Cricetulus griseus: one gene and its partners. The protein of the gene in region 1 interacts with the protein of each later gene in a pairwise test. Links are inferred from orthologs where the notes say so. Each region holds a gene or a part of one and is shown in the gene's direction. Other genes may lie near its edges.

Region 1 (3,970 bases):
AAAGTCTGCACTACCACACTGGCGCTTTCAGGGAATGCAGTGTTGCACAGCAGTATGGGCCGCATGTGGTCCCAGCCTCCACTCAGGAAGCAGAGGCCAGAGAATCAGGACATGTTTGAGGCCATACAGGGCTGCATAGTGAGGCTTTAACTCAACAACAAAGCAACAGTGAGCAGACAAAACAGTTGACAGTGAGGGGAGACACTGGACTGGGAGTTAGCTCGGTTGTAGACTATGTGCCTAGCATGCAGAAGGCTCTGGTGGAGTGTGCCTGTAGTCCCTTCATTTGCGAGGGTGAAGGAAGGACTGGGGGCTGGGGATATAGTTCAGTGGCAGATCACTTGCCTAGCTTTGTGAGGCCCTGGACCACAAACAAGATTTTGTTAGTATCTACAAAACAGAAATGAATCAAGAAACTGTAGAACTGGATACCTAGGGTGGGAGTTGGGGAGATTAGGATGGGAATCAGAAAAGGGGAAGACATTTTTTTTTTTTTTTTCCCCCGAGACAGGGCTTCTCTGTGTAGCTTTGGAGCCTATCCTGGCACTCGCTCTGGAGACCAGGCTGACCTTGAACTCACAGAGATCTGCCTGCCTCTGCCTCCCGAGGGCTGGGATTAAAGGTGTGAGCCACCAACGCCCAGCCAGGGAAGACAATTTTTGTTGTTTGTTTGTTTGTTTGTGATAGGGTTTCTCTGTGTAGCCCTGGCCATCCTAGAACCAGCTTTGTAGACCAGCCTGGCCTCAAAACCAGAGATTTGCTTGCCTTTGCTCCTGAGTTCTGGGATTAAAGATATGTGGCAATACCACCCAACAGGGGAAGAAAACATTAAAGTTGAATTGTCATTTAATTCTGGATCACATAAATGAACATTTAATTGTAACTTAATTAAGAAAGAAATTAGTTGGCCAGGAGCTGGAGAGATGGCTCAGAGGTTAAGAGCACCGGCTGCTCTTCAAAGGACCTGAGTTCAATTCCCAGCAACCACATGGTGGCTCACAAACATCTGTAATGGGATCCGGTGCCCTCTTCTGGCCTGCACTGTATACACAATAAATAAATGAATATTAAAGAGAGAGAGAGAGAGAGGAAGAGGATAAGGAGGAGGAGGAGGAAGAAGAAGAAAGAAAGGCAGGCAGATTTCTGAGTTTGAGGCCAGTCGGTCTACAGAGTGAGTTCCAGGACAGCCAGAACTAATACACAGAGAAACCCTATTTCGAAAACAAAACAACAAAATGAAATTAGTTTTGCCTACTTTTTTGTTTGTTTGTTTTTCGAGACAGGGTTTCTCTGTGGCTTTGGAGGCTGTCCTGGAACTACCAGGCTGGTCTCCATCTCACAGATACCCGCCTGCCTCTGCCTCCTGAGTGCTGGGATTAAAGGCATGTGCCACCAACGCCCGGCTTAAATCTTTATTTTATTTGAATTGGTGCTTTGACTATGTGTGACGCACCACCTGGAACTGGAATTACAGACAGTTGTGAGCTGCCATGTGGGTGCTGGGAATTGAACTTGGGTCCTCTGGAAAAGCAGTCAGTGCTTTTAACCACTGAGCCATCTCTCACAGCCCCCCCCCCCTTTAATTTTAAATAGTAAATAAAAGAGAAGACGGGAATAATATTCTCACTTCAAAGATGTGGGAAAGTAAACATTGGGAGCATATGTATTAACTGGGCGTTTGTAGTACCAGCATGGCGCCTGCTCCTGACCGATTGGCTGGGTCCTGGAGAGAAGATAACCCTTGTCATGCTCCCACAGGCTGATTTACTGGTTGACCTTTGCTGTGGGCCGCTCCTTCCGAGGCTTTGGCTATGGGCTGACTTTCCTGCCGCTGTTGGCCATGCTGATGTGGAACCTCTACTACATGTTCGTGGTGGAGCCCGAGCGCATGCTCACTGCCTCTGAGAGTCGCTTGGATTACCCGGACCACATGCGATCTATCTCCGACTACAGGCCGCGCTCATGGGGCTGAGCTGCCCTGGGGCTGTGCAGGGGAATTTCAGTGCTTCCCTGAAACAATTGCAGGCCTGGCCTTTGCCCAGGTCGTGGACCTTCAATGTGAGGAATCTTGCTACTGCCCTTTGGGGCCCCATCCAGCGGGGCCCAGATACCCCAGTTCTCTCCTAGCTTTTGTTTTACTCCTGGAGTGTGAGAGCCTGAGACTGGATTAACACTCTTCCTTCTTGGCCTCTCACTATGCCACACTAAGGCTAAGGCTGGATGGCTACCTCACTACCCAGCTTCCTGTGGGCCAGGGGTGCAGAGCTGCAGCCCAACCTCAACTGTCTTTGCCAGCTGTATAGATGAAAGTCAAGGAGATGGGCTTAAGCCCAAGGGTAGAGCTTGGAATCACATCAGATAAGGACATCTTTGACACTAGATGGAAACCTCCCTAGGAGGCCTGGATTAAAGACCCTCTCTATCCCTGGCTTCAAGACTTTTTTTTGCCTCAGTCAAGACTATTGCAGCTGTTGCCGTCCCTCTCTCAACCTACATGGGTCCCTGTAACCTTCCACTTTTCAGACTTCCAAGAAATCTCACTGTAAAAGTGGGGGGCTGGGAAGCCGGGCGTTGGTGGTGCACACGCCTTTAATCCCAGCACTAGGGAGGCAGAGTCAGGCGGATCTCTGTGAGTTCGAGGCCAGCCTGGTCTCCAGAGGGAGTGCCAGGATAGGCTCCAAAGCTACACAGAGAAACCCTGTCTCGAAAAACAAAACAAAACAAAAGTGGGGGGCTGGGGCAGAGGGATGAAACCTCCAAAAGAACTGTAAATAGTCACATGTAGTGGCTGGATGGCAGAGTGACTGCTTGCTCAGTATATATGTGTGAGTATGTAATAAATCACTGCCCGCCTCCCATGACTCTTTCTTCCTGCCCCTCCCCCCACCTCAAGTCAACTCCTAAGCATCAAGAGGATGGCTGACAAGAGCCTTGGGGGAGACCACTGGGATTGGTGAGAAAATGTGCCTTCAAATAGAAATTGCCTTTCAAGCCTATCTCTGTCTTCTTATTTGCTGAAAGCAGTCGGACATGGTGGTACACGCCTTTAATCCCGACGACATTCGGGAGACACAGACAGGGAATCTCTGAGTTTGAGGCTAGCCTACAGAGTCAGTTCCAGGACAGCCAGGACTGCACTGAGAAACCCTATCTCAGAGAGGTGGGGGCAGGGGAGGGAGGGAGAGAGAGATTGGAATCTGGACTAGAGAGATGGATGGCTTAGTGGTTAAGAGCACTTGCTCTTGCAAAGAACCCTGGTTTAATTCCCTTTACCCATATGGTGGTTTACAACCATCCATAATTCCAGTTTCAGGGGCTCTAGTGCCCTCTTCTGACTTCCACAGGCAACACACACACACACACACATCCATACAAGCAAGCAAAACACAATATAATAAAATACATATATCTCATTTAAAAATAAGAGAGAAATTAGAATATTTTATGGGAAAAATATCTATTTCATGCCCCTTAGGGCAGCCAACCAGTCGTTCTTATTGTAGGCCTTCAAGTTTTATCCAAGGGAATCCGGAGTGGCAAATGACAGAGAAGGAAGCATCAGTGGTGCACCTTCCTTTGTAATCCTAGCCTCTCCCTAAGGTAGGAAGGACATCGCCCAGGGAGCCCCCAGTAAGTTGAGGCTGGCTTCTGAGGTTCTGCAGAAAAGCAGATCACAACACTGACCCTCTACTCTTCAACACTTTGAGGCACAGCAAGGCAGATGTGGTCCTGCCCTTTCCTCTGGAGAGTGGGTTTCAGTTTATAGACTGGTACTCAGAATACTGCTTGTGGCGAAGCAGCAGAAACAGGCCTCCTCCCAGCAACATGAGCCCCGGAGTTCCCAGGGCCACTGCCATGATTCCGAGCACTAGTGGAGACAAGGCATCCACTGGAGGGAAGCCCATTCCCAGAAGCATTGACCTAAAGCAAGAAGGTTAAAAAAAAAAAAAAAAAAAGGTTAGCAAGCTTA
Region 2 (4,865 bases), on another chromosome or scaffold:
ATTGTGTAATTCCTTCATGTGGGCACTGAGTGGGACAAGAGGATCACAAACTCTAAGCCATCTTGGGCTCTACAGAGAGACTGTTTCAAACAACAAAGAAAATGAAAGACAAAGAAAAGGAGGGGTTCTATTGTGGGAGATGGTGGTGGGCTGCAGGCCTCTATTGAAGACAACATTTGAAGTGGAACTGAAAAACCAGAAGCCAAATAATGAAAAGCTGGGGGAAGGGCATCTATAGTAATGGGAACGGTAAGTTCAAAGGCCAGACGCAGCTAAATTTGTCATGTTCTACAAGTTCAGGTATTTATCACTGCTTGAATGCATGCACTCAACACTCACAAAAACGTTTCAACCTTTCCATTAATTAACTTCTTAAACAATGGCAATTGTAAAAGGGTGCCCCTTCATTTGGAACGGCCCTATGTTTGGGGTGGGGGCAGGTAGGCCCTTAGGTTGAATTCAGCCTTTCAAATAATTTCTTTACACTTGAGATGAATATAAAACCAATGTCCAGAACACATTGTGGAGTGTGTGTGTGTGTGTGGGGGGGGGATGTCCTTAGTATCAGAGTTAGATACTAAGATGGCCTGGAGAAATTATTTGCTCACATACACAGTGCAAAATGTCAACTTTCTTACCCCAAATTGTACTCCAAGAACCATCCCCTTACCATGTCCACCTGTCAGCAAAAAATGTTTGCTTTTTCCATTCTTCATCTAAAGCTGGCTTGGCCTATCTTCTTAGAATCAGAAAGCTGAGGTCTAGCCCGCAGGCTGAAGACTTCTCTGCAACTGGACAGCACGGTAAACCACTGGCTCCCTAGACTCTAAGTAGATGATTAATAATCAGTACTCTTTACCAGGTGACCACTAATCAGTACTCTTTACCAGGTGACCACCAGGTCCTGTTCTCACGAAGTCTTTGCAGCACTATCTCCTATAAGCAAAGCCTCCCAAATTCTGGAAACTGGCTGCATCCCCCTCACACCAGTTTCGTATCATTTGACTACAGAACCTGACCTAACTTAATCAGGAACAATTTTCAATCTCCCTTCATCTCACTTATTGTGAACATTTACACCATTTCTTGAGATAATTAAGTTTTAATACCCCCAGGTCCTGCCCAGAGTGTTAGGTAATATACTGTACTATCTATCAGTGGTTCTCAACCTTCCTAATGCTTGCTGCAACCCTTTAATACAGTTCCTCACGTTATGCTGCTCCCCCAACTGTAAAATTATTTTTGTTGCTATTTCCTAACTGTATTTGGCTATGGTTATAAATCAAAATGTAAATATGTGCGTTTTCTGATGGTCTTAGGTGACCCCTGTGAAAGGGTCTTTAGACCCACAGTTTGAGAACCATTACTATATAAGCAAAAACGGAAAACCTTCTAAAATTCAAAGCTAAGAATTCAGGAAACATACCTGACCTCAAAAATTTCGGGTTTAAGCCGGGCCTCGGCCATTTTTTTCAGCTAAGGAAACTGAGGCACTCTATTGCTTCTTGGTCTTTTGGCTAAGATCAAATGTAGGAAGTCAGAATCGCTCGGTTCGGAGTGGAAGTAGCGCTTTTGCAATTTTTGAGAAGTTAAAGGTCTCTATAGTCTTGCACTTGGTACCTGGAGCTGCCAGACACCTAGAAGATGAGGGCTTGTGCAGGATTCGCACTGTCTTTGGCCGGAGGGCAAAGGGGGCTTCCGGGGCGGCAGCCACCTGGCCCGGCCCCCTCCGGCCCCGCCCGCTTCAGCTAGGCGCGGTGATTCATTCCCTCCTTTGCCCGGGGGCCCCCTTCCCGACCAGACGGCGGGACGAACGGCTGGGTGTGCAGCGACCTCGAACTCGTGAGCCAGAAAACAGAGCTTCTGCGTCCCAGTGACTCCAGCACACACCATGGCGGACTCTGAGCGCCTCTCGGCCCCTGGCTGCTGGTTAGCCTGCACTGGCTTCTTACGCACCAAAAAGGGACTTTTCCTGTGTGCTGAGATTGTGAGTGTTCCGTGGCTGGAGGGTGGGCAGGCTGGACCGCTCGGTACTGGACTGTTCGGGCTGAGGCAGGCACGTGGCCAGGCTGGTTGGCAGTGGGGTGCAGGTGGGTGAGTTCGTGGAGGAGGATCGAAGCCAAGGTGCAGGGGGTTCCCTGGGACATGGGCGAAGTAGTGGAGAGCTGGTGGTGCACTGGTGAGGCGAAGAGTCTATAACTTATGTTGAGGGCTCGGCGTGGGGGCATAGACTCATAGTGGATGCAAAGAAGGGGTCCCGGGGAGAGTGGGAGCCTCTCGTGGCAGGGCGTGGCCGGCCTGGGCACTGGCTGGCGGGCTGGCAACGCGCCCAAAGGCGGGGCCTGTTGGGGTGGGGTAAAACTAGTCCCCTAGGGTAGGGCACTCCACCCTTTGCCAGTTCTCCCTTGCCAGTTTGGGACTGGATGGGAGGTCCTTAGCTCTTTGGATGGTTATAGGGAACTTTGGTTTTCCATCCCCCTCAAAGTGGTCACTGCCTTTGGGTCACTTATAAAAGAGGTGCGGCGCCTTTAACGGAGCCCTGCCCTCCTAGTGTCAGTCTCACCCCTTCCCAAAGGGGTTGCCTGGGGAACCGCACGTCCCTCCCCTGAAGGCATGGACGCTGGCGCCACCAGCGCTCACAAAACACCTGGCAGAGCCACTCCCCTCAGGGAAAGGGGGAACCGAAGCACATAATTCTGCTCTTTTCTTACTGGGTGACCCTGGGCAAGCCATTTAACCTCTCTATGACTCAAATTTCTAATGTATAAAATAGAATAGTACCTAGCTCATTAGATTCTTGTGATGATTAAGTGAAATAAAACATGTAAAACTCCTAGACAATGCGTGGAGAACAGTGAGCATGCGAGAGGTCTTTAGCAATCATTGCTTGTCATTTTGGCACTTCTGGTAGTTCGTCGCCAAAAGGAATTTTTCTTTCCTCCCCCACTTCCAACTCTCCCTGCTGAGTGAGCAGAGCCTAGGGCCTCATACGTGTTAGGCAAATGCTCTGCCTCAGAGCTATATCGCCAGTCTTGGGAAGTGGATTTCACTTTTTTTTTTTCTGATGGCCATCTTTTCTAATTTCAAACTTTGCTCTTAAGCCACGGCTGATGGCTGATTGAGGTCCCCTGTCCCCCTCTCAGATACTGTGCCTGGTGGTTTTAATTTGCTTCAGTGCTTCGACATCAGCATACTCCTCCCTGTCGGTGATCGAGATGATCTTTGCTGCTGTCTTATTTGTCTTCTACATGTGTGACCTGCACTCCAAGATATCATTCATCAACTGGCCATGGACTGTGAGACAGGGACCAGCATTGCTGAGGGTGGACAGGGGGTTGGGAAGTTGCAGTGGTCTGGAGAGCTGTGGATGCTGAACTGACCTTTTTTCTCCATCCACTTCACAGGACTTCTTCAGAGCCTTCATAGCAGCCATCCTCTACCTGATAACCTCCATTGTTGTCCTTGTAGATGGAAAAGGCAGTTTCAAAATCGCTGCTGGGGTAAGGGCCCAAGAAGCATATCCAAAGCACAGGAAGAAGGTTGTGAGGATCTAGGGGCTTCTTCATGAGTGTGTGAGCCACATCAGGCCAAAATTGCTCTCAGGAATTGCAGCAAAGTTTGGCCCCAGAAATGATTTTTATCTACCAAGATAATTTGCTGTAAAACACTGTCCGCTGTCTGACAGAGAGACCTTTGTCAACATGTTAGGCTACTATCTGCTAGAACTTTGCCTCAGATGTAGTATGAAGCATGCCTTCTACATATAAAGCAATGGGGGTGCAAAGAGGTAACTGGGGAGATGGTGGGATAGTAAATATTCAGACTCCTGGCCTTTCCCTGATCTTCTCTGGTTTCCTAGCTTAGGGCTGGACTCACTATCCTACATGGCCTTGTACCTGGAGGTGGATACAAGGACATAGAGGCTGAGTAGGTACACCCTCTAATCCAGTTCCCTCACTCCTGTCTTCCCAGGTACTGGGTATATTTGCTACATTGCTCTTTGGCTGTGATGCCTACTTCACCTTCCCTTTAAAGCAGCAAAGACATACAGCAGCCCCTACTGGTAAGAGAGGGGGGGAAAAAGGGGGGAGAGAGGCAGTGTGTGTGTGTGTGTGTGTGTGTGTGTGTGTGTGTGTGTGTGTGTGTGCGATCATGAGTGCATGCATGCTGAGAGCAGAAAAAAAGAAAAAGGGCCAGGTGTGGTGGTGCACTTCTTTAATCCCAGAACTCAGGAAGTACAGCCAGGCAGATCTCTGTGAGTTCCAGGCCAGCCTGTTTTACATAGTGAGTTCCAGGATATCCAGAGCTACATAGTGAAACCCTGTCTCAAAAAACTTAAAGGAGAAAAAAGAAGAAAAAGGGGAAAGAACCTCTTAGGGAAGGGTATGAATGCCAAATCTGACCTGTATTGATACTTATGCCTTTTGTGCCAGTAAATATCATAAGTGTGTCAGCATTCCTGTTGGTAAAAATGGCACGTGGATCTATCAGTGCTTTCTTTTTTCCTCTTGCAGATCCCACAGATGGCCCTTGATCCTCATTCATCTATCTCTGCTACCTGCAAATAGCTCCTCCATCAAAAACTTCCTCTTGCCTGGTGTGGTGGTGCATGCCTTTAATCCAAGCACTCAGGAGGCAGAGACACGTGGATCTCTGTGAGGCCAGCCAGGGCTACACAGTGAGACCTTGTTTCAAAAAAAATACCTCTTTCTATTTCCACAACACTCCCAGCCAATTCTCTGACCCCACTGAAAGTGCTTATGTATGGTACAGGAGATTGAACCTAGAACCATCTGCATACTAGGCAAGCAGTCTCCTCCCAGCTACACCTCCTATAAAAGTGCCTTTGTTGGGAGAGTTTTGTC
Region 3 (4,944 bases), on another chromosome or scaffold:
TGGGGTCTGCAAGTAGAGAGCTGTTGGCTACTCAAAGGCAGTTTTTAAAGAGTATGTGAGAATATGCATATGTATGTAACTTCTTCTTCTTCTTCTTCTTCTTCTTCTTCTTCTTCTTCTTCTTCTTCTTCTTGTTTTTTTTTTTTTTCTGCTTTTTTGAGACAGGATTTCTTTGTGTAGCTTTGTAGACCAGGTTGACTCAAACTCACAGAGATCCTTCTGCCTCCCAAATGCTGGGATTAAAGTGTGCGCCTCCACTGCCTGGTTGTTGTATGTAACTTCTATAGTCTAATTTGTATAAGGGACTTGCATGCCTGTGGATTTGGCGTGTCCATGAGGAGTCCTAAAAACAATCTGGAGATATTAAGGGGCAGCTTTGTAGGAGAACAAGGGTGCCAGGTCAATACAAGGAAGTACTAGGCTCCAGCTTACACATTCATAAAAGTTGAGAGGTGCAAAGATGTTTCAAGTCCACCTGGCCAGCAACTGAAAGGGAACCGGATGGGCTAGAGAGAAGGTTCAGTGGTTACAAGCATTGGCTACTCTTTCACAGCATCCAAGTTTGATACCTAGTACCCACATGGAAGCTCACAACTCTCTGTGACTCCAGCCCCTGTGGGTCCCATGTCCTTTTCTGGCCTCCAAGAGTACCAGGCATGCAGGTGGTGCACAGGCAAAACACCCATACCCATAAAATAAAAATAAATAAATCTTTAAAAGGGAATTGAAGGCATGTAGCCAAGGCCAAGTTGAAAGGGTGCAACCAATCCGAAGTCACTGGTAGATGTGACTGACTTAGTACCCCAAGCAACAGGAGAGAATTTGGGGAAAGAGAGAAGGGAGGGAGAGAGGAGAAGGAGGAAGTCATGAAAGTGAATGGGATTTGGTTAAATCACATTGGGCAAATTTAGACGATATAAACAGGAGGTCAGAAGGGTAGATAGAATGGTCGAAGGGCAGAGGTGGCTGATTGGGACCACACTCAGCCCTGTGCAAGGTCATCTTGGCTTGAGAAAATGTCTGGGGATGTAGCTCAGTGGAAAACGGCTTCCCAAGCATGCTCATGACCTTAAGTTTGATCCTCAGCACTGGAAGGCAAAAACTAAGGCCTGGAATAGTCGTCAGAGCATTCAACTTACAGACAGGCCCGGGGCAAGGAGTGAAACAGGACTTATCCCCCAGTAAGAGGTTTGCAGCTGTGAGGAAAGGGTTTCCAGAGTAAGAAAAATGACTGGAGCAAATCCGAGGTTAGAGACAGCAGGTGTGGGAAGCAGGATAAAGAGGAACCGACCCTGTCTCAGAAACCACACTAATGGATCCCCAGTTTTGTTCCAAGCCCTGTTCCTCCAGTAGACACCTCTCCACCCCCATCAATAATCACCACTTTCTTAGTCCCTGATGGAACTCATGTCTGAGCCTGGGGGAGGTTATCTGGTAGAAAGGGATGGCCAGATTCTTGGCTACCACAGGAAAGGTTTGGCCTGTCAAACGAAGAGAAGCCACAGGGCTGCAGGGGCAGGTGCCAGCAAGAGAGGCAGACATGCCAGAAAGACACCCACGGTGAGAGGAGCAGGTGGCCTGAGGGTGAGTTTGCTCACCTCACCCAGGTTTGCTCTTGTTGGGGCCAAGAGGATTCATGTGCCTAGGCCAAGAGCCCTTGGGGGCTCTTGCAGCTGGCTTATCAGGGCCTAGGCTGTGAAAAACCTGGAATAAACAAGCTTCAAAGCCAAGGACTTGGCTGGCAGACAGAAGACCTGGTCCTTCACCTCTGTCCCCTCTCTCTCTGATGATATATATAGGACACTGGCCACACTAGAGAGATGAGAAGAGAAGAAAGCCTACAAAATGGATGTGGGTAGCAAAGAGGTCTTGATGGAGAGTCCACCGGTGAGTGTGGTTTTGTGTGTGTGTGTGTGTGTGTGTGTGTGTGTGTGTGTGTGTGTGTGTGTGTATTTACATAAGTGTACTGGACTTGCCTGCTCCATTCTCCATAGGATTTTTTTCTTCAATTAGTTTAGGATTAGGCTGTTAGGATGGAGACACCATGATCATTAAGAGTCCCTGGAAGAGGCAGGCATGGCAGCCATGAATTTCTGTATAAAGGGGTTGAGAACCACCGTAGGGGTCAATAGAAAGGCCTGTGAAAAACACTGCTAGAGTCACCAAGTAATTAGGAGGTCACAGAGAAAATGGCATGTGAGGCTGGGATGGAGTTCAGTGGGAAGAGTGCACTGCAATCAAAGGCCCTTGGGTTCAGTCCCCAGGACCCCATAAGTCAGGCATGGGGTCCACACCATTTGGAAGTGTAAGCAAGACAATCATTCAGGGTTATCTTTAGATATGTAAGGAGGTGGAAGGCAGCCTGGGTCTCAAAAAAAAAAAAAAAAAAAAAAAAAAAAAAAAAAAAAAAAAGGAGAAGGATGGCTCCTCAGATAGGCGTGAAGATGACACATGAAATTGCCTAGGAAGAATATGCAGGCACCCACAAGGCAAAGGAGGAAGGCATACAAGGAAGAAAGGGACTCTACATAAAGATATGGAGATGGTGCTACCTGGATCCTTGGGGAGGGGGAAGGGCACAAAAATGCTGGCTATGTCTGAGGTGCCAAGAGTCTTGGGAAAACAGAACATACGATTACTAACTGGCTCTCTTGGATCCTTCCAAACCTAGATTTTGCCTCTAACTTCCTAAGTTTCTGTGGGTTTGTTTGAATCCGACCACCTTCCCAAAAGCCTCTGGTCTCCCCAGCGCTCCTCTGCATATTCATAGCCTAACGGGGTATGAGCGTGCATCTGGTTGGTTCAGGGAGAGGAATGGGCATCCTCTCAACTGCCTGCTTGTCTCTCTGCTCCCCCCCCCCCCCCCCCCGCTTCTTCAGGACTACTCAGCAGGTCCCAGGAGCCAGTTCCGCATCCCCTGCTGCCCCGTGCATCTCAAACGCCTTCTCATCGTGGTTGTGGTGGTGGTCCTTGTTGTCGTGGTGATTGTAGGGGCCCTGCTCATGGGCCTTCACATGAGTCAAAAACATACTGAGATGGTGAGCAGGCCTGGGTTGAGCAAAGAGTAGCAGCGATGAATGTCAGACAGAGGAAGTTTGCTGGGGTGGGCAAACAAGAGCGTATCTTGAGTGATACAAGCAGAGATGGGGTAGCAGACCAGCATAGATGGTTTTTCCCCAGGCCCTGGCCTACAGTGTGATAACCACCAGTCCCTCCAACACCAGTGATCTTTAGCCTTCCTGAGATCTCAGGAAAGAGGGAATTGCGTTCCAACAGAGGGCTCTGGGTAGATATGGGTACCAAAGGGCTGAGAAAAGAAAGAGGAATGCCAGGCAGCACTCTGACAGCCTCTCCCTAGGTCCTTGAAATGAGCATCGGAGCACCGGAAACTCAGAAACGCCTAGCCCTGAGTGAGCACATGGACACCATTGCTACCTTCTCCGTTGGTTCCACTGGCATTGTTGTGTATGACTACCAGCGAGTGAGTATGCCTGAGGGACCAATATGACTTTACTGGAACTGTCTAGTTGTACCACCTCTTTCCAGAGGTCTCTCTCCATTCTGTGCCTGGCTGCTTCCCCTCGGATGCTGGAGTCTCGGACTCAGATGTGTCTCCCATGGCCAATCTAAAGGGAGTTGGCTGAGAATCAGGGTTGGGGAGTGAGCAAGGCAAGGGACCTTCCTGAATGACCTCCCGTGTTACATGCCTAGCTCCTGACTGCCTATAAGCCAGCCCCGGGTACCTACTGCTACATCATGAAGATGGATCCAGGGAGCATCCCCAGTCTTGAGGCTTTTACTAGAAAATTCCAGAACTTCAAGGTGGGTGTGTGAGTAAAGGGAGTGAGCTGTCTCCCTCCAAGGGTTGGGGAGAGGAATATTTGAAATGATGGCTAGTGCCATCTGCATGGTATTGATTCTCCTGGGCCAGATGTGTTCTCTCTGCACTCACCTGTGTTACACCTATCCCAGCTGTCAGCTGGCCTGCTGCTAAGTTGTTGGCTTGGCTGAGCTCAGACACCACCTGTGTGCTTCTGATTTCAGCCTAGTCCCTCTGTATCGGTGAGGAAACTGAGCCTCGAGAATTTGCCTGGCTAGCCTAGTGTCCCACAATAAGGACTGCAGGTGAGATTGAACATATGTGTTCTTTCCAGGCCAAGCCCTCGGCGTCCACCCCTAAGCTGGGTCAGGAGGAAGGGCATGGCATTGGTTCTGAGTCTTCCGGGAGAGACCTGGCATTCCTAGGCCTTGCTGTGAGCACCTTGTGTGGAGAGCTACCACTGTACTATATCTAGGACCCCCTCAGGTGAGCAAGGGTACCTTTGATGGTGCCTGCACAACGTTGGGAAGGCTTGGGCTTCGGGCTTTGTCAGCAAACCTACTAGGGTTCTCCTGAAGTCAGTGGTCTGGGGACGGCAGAGGATGGCAGGCTCACAGACAGCCCACATTGGAATCAAGCGAGTGGCTCCCTAGGTTCCCCCCCCCCCCGCCCTTCACGTGATAAACATCAGTTCTTTGCTTCACAGGGTCGGTGGTAACCGCATGGGGACAGGAAAGACCCGCACGCAGAGAAGGGTCTCTTGCAGACAAGCAGGAAGCTGCTCCTGTTCTTGCTCGACCCGACAGAGTAGAAGCCAGTAGAGGAGAGGGGTCTCCTACAGGCCAGGGGGTCTCCTACCACAAAGCAATAAAGCAGCCTGATTGAAAAACAAAGGGTGGCATGTCTTTTCTTCCACATTTTCAGTTTCGCTCCTGGCGGGAGCCGTCCTTGGAAGGAGAGGGTTTGGGGGAGTTGGGACGCTTTGCCACATCCTTTCTGTCTAAGAGTGATGGGGATTTGGTTCTACCCCAGGTAGTGGGGAAGGGGGCAAAAGGCGGGGATAGGGGACGGGACCTAGGTGCCATACACGGGTGTTAGGCGCCCTCCAGCGGTGTGTCCACAGG
Region 4 (4,116 bases), on another chromosome or scaffold:
GTGTGTGAATGAAGGTGCCTGTGGAGGCCAGAGGCATGAGATCCCTCTGGAGTTAGGATTGCAGGCAGTTGTGAGGCTTTTGACATGGCCTGGGGACTGAACTGGGTCCTTTGGAAGAGTAGCAAATGTTCTTAACTGCTGAACCATCAATCCAGACACTGTTATTCCATCCATTACCTGGATAACAAAATGTAAAGAATTCTATATGATCCATTAATAATAAATTTGACCCAAAAAAGAGATATTTTTGAAGGTTAAACATTCTTCAAGGTCGACTGAATCATGAAAACTAGAGCAACTAAGCCAAGGAAATATGGCTGAGTCCTGGTTCTCTGCGGTTCACACCTGCCTATTCTCCATTACAAAAGCATCTAGGTATCTAGAACTTACTGAAGCTTCCAGAAAATTAAAAAAAAAAAAAATCTTGTCTAAAAGTCAGTCCTGTGGCTTGAGATGAGGCATAGGGAAATGGTGCTAAGACATTAAAGAGACCTGAACATGAAATGGATGACTCTTAGAGGGGGGATTAAGTCAGCAAATACGGTGTAATCAAAAATCTCTGTGCATGTCTATCGATGCCAAACTCAGAAATAAAAGGCCTGGAATGACTGCTTCAAGGACAGTCTGAGCTAGTTATAGAGCCTCCCCCGACCCCCACCCCTACCCCCATCCCCAATAGAGCAGAGAATAGCAAAGCAACTCCACTATCTCAGTAGAAACTAGTTAAGAGTATTCTTTCAAAAGTTTGGACTGAACATCAATGTCTCGTTTCCAGTCATTATAATAGAAAGAGAGGGGTCAAAGAAAGCAGAGAACTGGGAAAGGAGAGAAGGGGAAGGGGGGCCGAAAACTGGGCATCTTCTGGAACCTAAAATACGAACTGGCCAGTTTGTAAGACTCCCCTGGAACTTAGAACCAACAGCAGTCACGAAGGACTGAGCCTCCATAGCTCCCTGAAAAGCCGGCAGTTTGCTCTGCAGTGAGTAAGGAAGGCTGGGGGTGTGCATCAGCTTCTGGTGGGAGGCTTCCAGCTGTTGGCTAGCAGTCTAGGTGGTGGATGTGGACAAGCAATTCCCTTAAACAACTGATTTTTTGCCAAGGACAAAAACGCTGAAAGCTCATCCAAAAACTCCTCTGCAATTAAAGTTGCAGTGAAGTGATGGCTCTGTCCACCTCCCTTACCAGAGAGTTAACCCTGTTCTTGGCTAGCACTTTCACCCACGAGCCACAGATGAACACCTCCTTCATCGTCCTGCCCCTTGCCTTGGCCTTGCAGCTCACTGCAAACCCCGCTTCACTACGTTGGCATGTAATAACTCTTTTACTCTTTCTGACGCTTTCATCAGTTCTTCCTTCCTTAAAACAATAATACCACCACCACACCTCCAAAAAGAAGTGAGAAAGAAATAACTTCCCAGATCCTGCCCCGCCCCCCTTGTTCCCGGACAAGCAGGTAGACAGGAATAAGCAGTGGGTCAGTGCTTTGGCCAGGGCCATCTGGTACCTGGCCACTTTAAGTCAAATCAAAGGTGAGAGGGGCAGCATTGAAGGACACTCTCAAGAGCGTGTGTGACCCAGGTTCTCTGCCACTTTCAGCCTTTCTCCCCAAATCCTTTTCTTGTTCATCACATCAAGAGTGTTTAGTGACCTCTTCCTGGCCTTAGGAAATGAAGATACTACAAACCCAGCTAGGACGGCTCTTTTCTTTGCCTCCACTTCCTGGCCGAGGGGGGCGCAGCGCGGCTCTGCCACCAGCAGGGGCCGCTGTGCGCTTGGAGCAGCCGCCGGGCCACCGCCGCGGCCCGCGCCTCCCACGGCCCCTCCGGCCCAACCCGCCAAGTTCCAAGAGCTCCCAGTCGAGCGAGCACTGCCGGGAACGAGCAAAGCCCGGGCAGCACAAGGCGCACACGAGCCAGCTTGCAGCGCGCCCAGGAGAGGTTCCTGAGACTCTCACGGCCCAGGGACTTTGAAAGGGAGGCTGAGGAGCCCCGTACGCACAAGTGTGCCAGCCAGCGCTCCTTCCAGCACCTGTTTCTCCGGCGCCACCGCCTCCCGGTCCCCACCCCTCCGATCCTCGCCTTCCTGGCTCCCGCTTGCTCCCGTGATGAATTCAGTGCTGGGCAACCAGACCGACGTGGCCGGTCTCTTCCTGGCCAACAGCAGCGAGGCTCTGGAGCGCGCCGTGCGCTGCTGCACCCAGGCGTCGGTGGTGACCGACGATGGCTTCGCCGAGGGTGGCCCCGACGAGCGTAGCCTGTATATCATGCGCGTGGTGCAGATCGCAGTTATGTGCGTGCTTTCGCTCACCGTGGTCTTCGGCATCTTCTTCCTTGGCTGCAACCTGCTCATCAAATCCGAAGGCATGATCAACTTCCTGGTGAAGGACCGGAGGCCGTCTAAAGAGGTTGAGGCAGTGGTCGTGGGACCCTACTGAGAGGCCCTCTGGTCCCCCACGGCTGGTGCTCCTGGCCTCTCCAGTACTCCACCAGCCGTGATGCACCTCTCACCATCAGAGACCGAGTAAAGCAAACCTGTCGGAGTCAGAATTTTTTTCTCTCGCCTCCTGCCTTTGGGGAAAAAGTGACCCATTTCTGATCGCTCTCCTAAAGGCCCCAAGCAAGCCTTCAGACGGAGCATCCAGACTTTGGGACTCAGCAGCAGGTGGCAAAAGAGGGTGATTAAGGCGCAGAACTTTGGGAGCCGTTGCTTGCCTGAGACGCGGGGAGATGGACCAGGCGAAGGCCCCTTTCCACCTGCAGGTGGGCCCAGCATTGGGGACATCTGGAGAGGCCGAGAAAGGCGGGAGTTGGGGTGGGGAGGATATCCAGAGGCACTAGTAGCCGGGTGACACGAAATTGACCTGTTTCTACAGCACACTGCAGACCTAATGGGAACATAGATGTGTGTGGGTTTTGCGACCTGCGGGGAGAGTGGAACTTTGATCAATAGTAACCTGTGGTTTATAGAGATCTGTGTTAGTTTGCTTGAATACAAATATTTGATAAGTCTTTTAAGCCCTAGTGGCCTGTTTGCCTGCCTGCGGGTTAGAGTTTTTGTCATCTTGGGAGAAGGGGTGGGGGGAGGGTAGCCTGAGACTGTGAATGGGGTTAAGTGCTTTCTTTTAGTGCATTTCCAGCTGGGTCTCTTTGGGAGGCTGGCGCTCCAGCTAAGCCCGGGACAAAGATCCAGAGTAGAATTTGTAGCTCGTGTATGCACGGTTTACTCCACAAAAGTGCTCTTGATATCCGTGACAACGTTTGACTTTTTTTTTCTTATTTAACATTTCCTTAATAAATGAAACATTTAAGTGTTTTGTTTCTGGCCTCCTGGTAGTCATTCTATTCTCCTGGCGGACAGGAAGGTCGGCTGTGCAGTCTGGGTCCTGGCCAGGAGGTTTCGCCTTGCCGGAGCTGCGATTCTACTTCGTAGAGCCTTATATCCCCGGAGGGAGGGAAGGAGGGGCCCGACAGAGTGCACACACCAAGCCTCAGGCACAAAAGCCATCTCGAAAACAGCGGCCTTTGTTTTCTCCCATATTTACGACTTCAAATTTCACTTTGTCTCGGATGTCAGGGAGGTCCCCGCGGGAAGATTACACTTCCGTACCAGGCTCCTTGGAGAACTTAGGCTACCCCGCTAATGAAAGAAGAAGCCGGCCAAGCTAGCCTTTAGGGAGGGCGTCTTTCCCCTGACCCACGTCAGCAGGACAGCATAGGGATGCTGCTCCAGAAAAAGAAAAGTGCAGGTTCTGAAGAAAAGTAGCTGAGGAAGTTCGAAATACTGAGCAGAGAAACCCTTGTGTCCAAGTCAGGAGGTATTCGTTGTCTTTGTCGTAAAACGTTTTCTAGAGAAAGGAATCAGATATAAGAGACCAATGACGAAATGACGAGTGTTTAAGGTGATGAGTTAATCCCACATTATACCCCGTAAATATAAGTAATCCATCCATCAATTGATTAAAAATAGTACAGAAAGAGCACAGAGAGAGAGAGAGAGAGAGAGAGGGAGAGAGAGAGAGAGAGAGAGATGAACATTTGCCTTCCTCTTTAGTCAGGCAGCTCAAAGGAGATAGCCTAGTCCTGATACTCAAGACTACTACAACCCACACTGGAAAGC

Evidence for each region. The genes of interacting proteins can lie anywhere in the genome.
Region 2: the proteins of Tmem79 (region 1) and Plp2 interact in binary tests that used the Homo sapiens proteins (3 or more experiments, as listed by UniProt). The two-hybrid records come from large-scale screens. The link is inferred for Cricetulus griseus from reciprocal best matches to the Homo sapiens genes TMEM79 and PLP2.
Region 3: the proteins of Tmem79 (region 1) and Sftpc interact in binary tests that used the Homo sapiens proteins (3 or more experiments, as listed by UniProt). The two-hybrid records come from large-scale screens. The link is inferred for Cricetulus griseus from reciprocal best matches to the Homo sapiens genes TMEM79 and SFTPC.
Region 4: the proteins of Tmem79 (region 1) and Rprm interact in binary tests that used the Homo sapiens proteins (3 or more experiments, as listed by UniProt). The two-hybrid records come from large-scale screens. The link is inferred for Cricetulus griseus from reciprocal best matches to the Homo sapiens genes TMEM79 and RPRM.

The regions. Positions count from the first base shown.
Region 1 is NW_023276806.1:66,163,926-66,167,895, forward strand, and holds the end of Tmem79 (transmembrane protein 79), read left to right. Parts: intron 1-1,758; coding exon 1,759-1,972; 3' UTR 1,973-2,996; downstream 2,997-3,970. Other genes in the region: Glmp (glycosylated lysosomal membrane protein), read right to left, coding at 3,756-3,921.
Region 2 is NC_048604.1:114,134,760-114,139,624, reverse strand, and holds the start of Plp2 (proteolipid protein 2), read left to right. Parts: upstream 1-1,766; 5' UTR 1,767-1,891; coding exon 1,892-1,987; intron 1,988-3,143; coding exon 3,144-3,296; intron 3,297-3,404; coding exon 3,405-3,500; intron 3,501-3,972; coding exon 3,973-4,063; intron 4,064-4,514; coding exon 4,515-4,534; 3' UTR 4,535-4,865. UniProt on the Homo sapiens protein: May play a role in cell differentiation in the intestinal epithelium.
Region 3 is NW_023276807.1:225,165,223-225,170,166, reverse strand, and holds Sftpc (pulmonary surfactant-associated protein C), read left to right. Parts: upstream 1-1,845; coding exon 1,846-1,887; intron 1,888-2,879; coding exon 2,880-3,038; intron 3,039-3,358; coding exon 3,359-3,481; intron 3,482-3,711; coding exon 3,712-3,822; intron 3,823-4,130; coding exon 4,131-4,295; downstream 4,296-4,944. UniProt on the Homo sapiens protein: Pulmonary surfactant associated proteins promote alveolar stability by lowering the surface tension at the air-liquid interface in the peripheral air spaces.
Region 4 is NC_048599.1:120,434,097-120,438,212, forward strand, and holds Rprm (protein reprimo), read left to right. Parts: upstream 1-1,843; 5' UTR 1,844-2,104; coding exon 2,105-2,434; 3' UTR 2,435-3,317; downstream 3,318-4,116. UniProt on the Homo sapiens protein: May be involved in the regulation of p53-dependent G2 arrest of the cell cycle. Seems to induce cell cycle arrest by inhibiting CDK1 activity and nuclear translocation of the CDC2 cyclin B1 complex.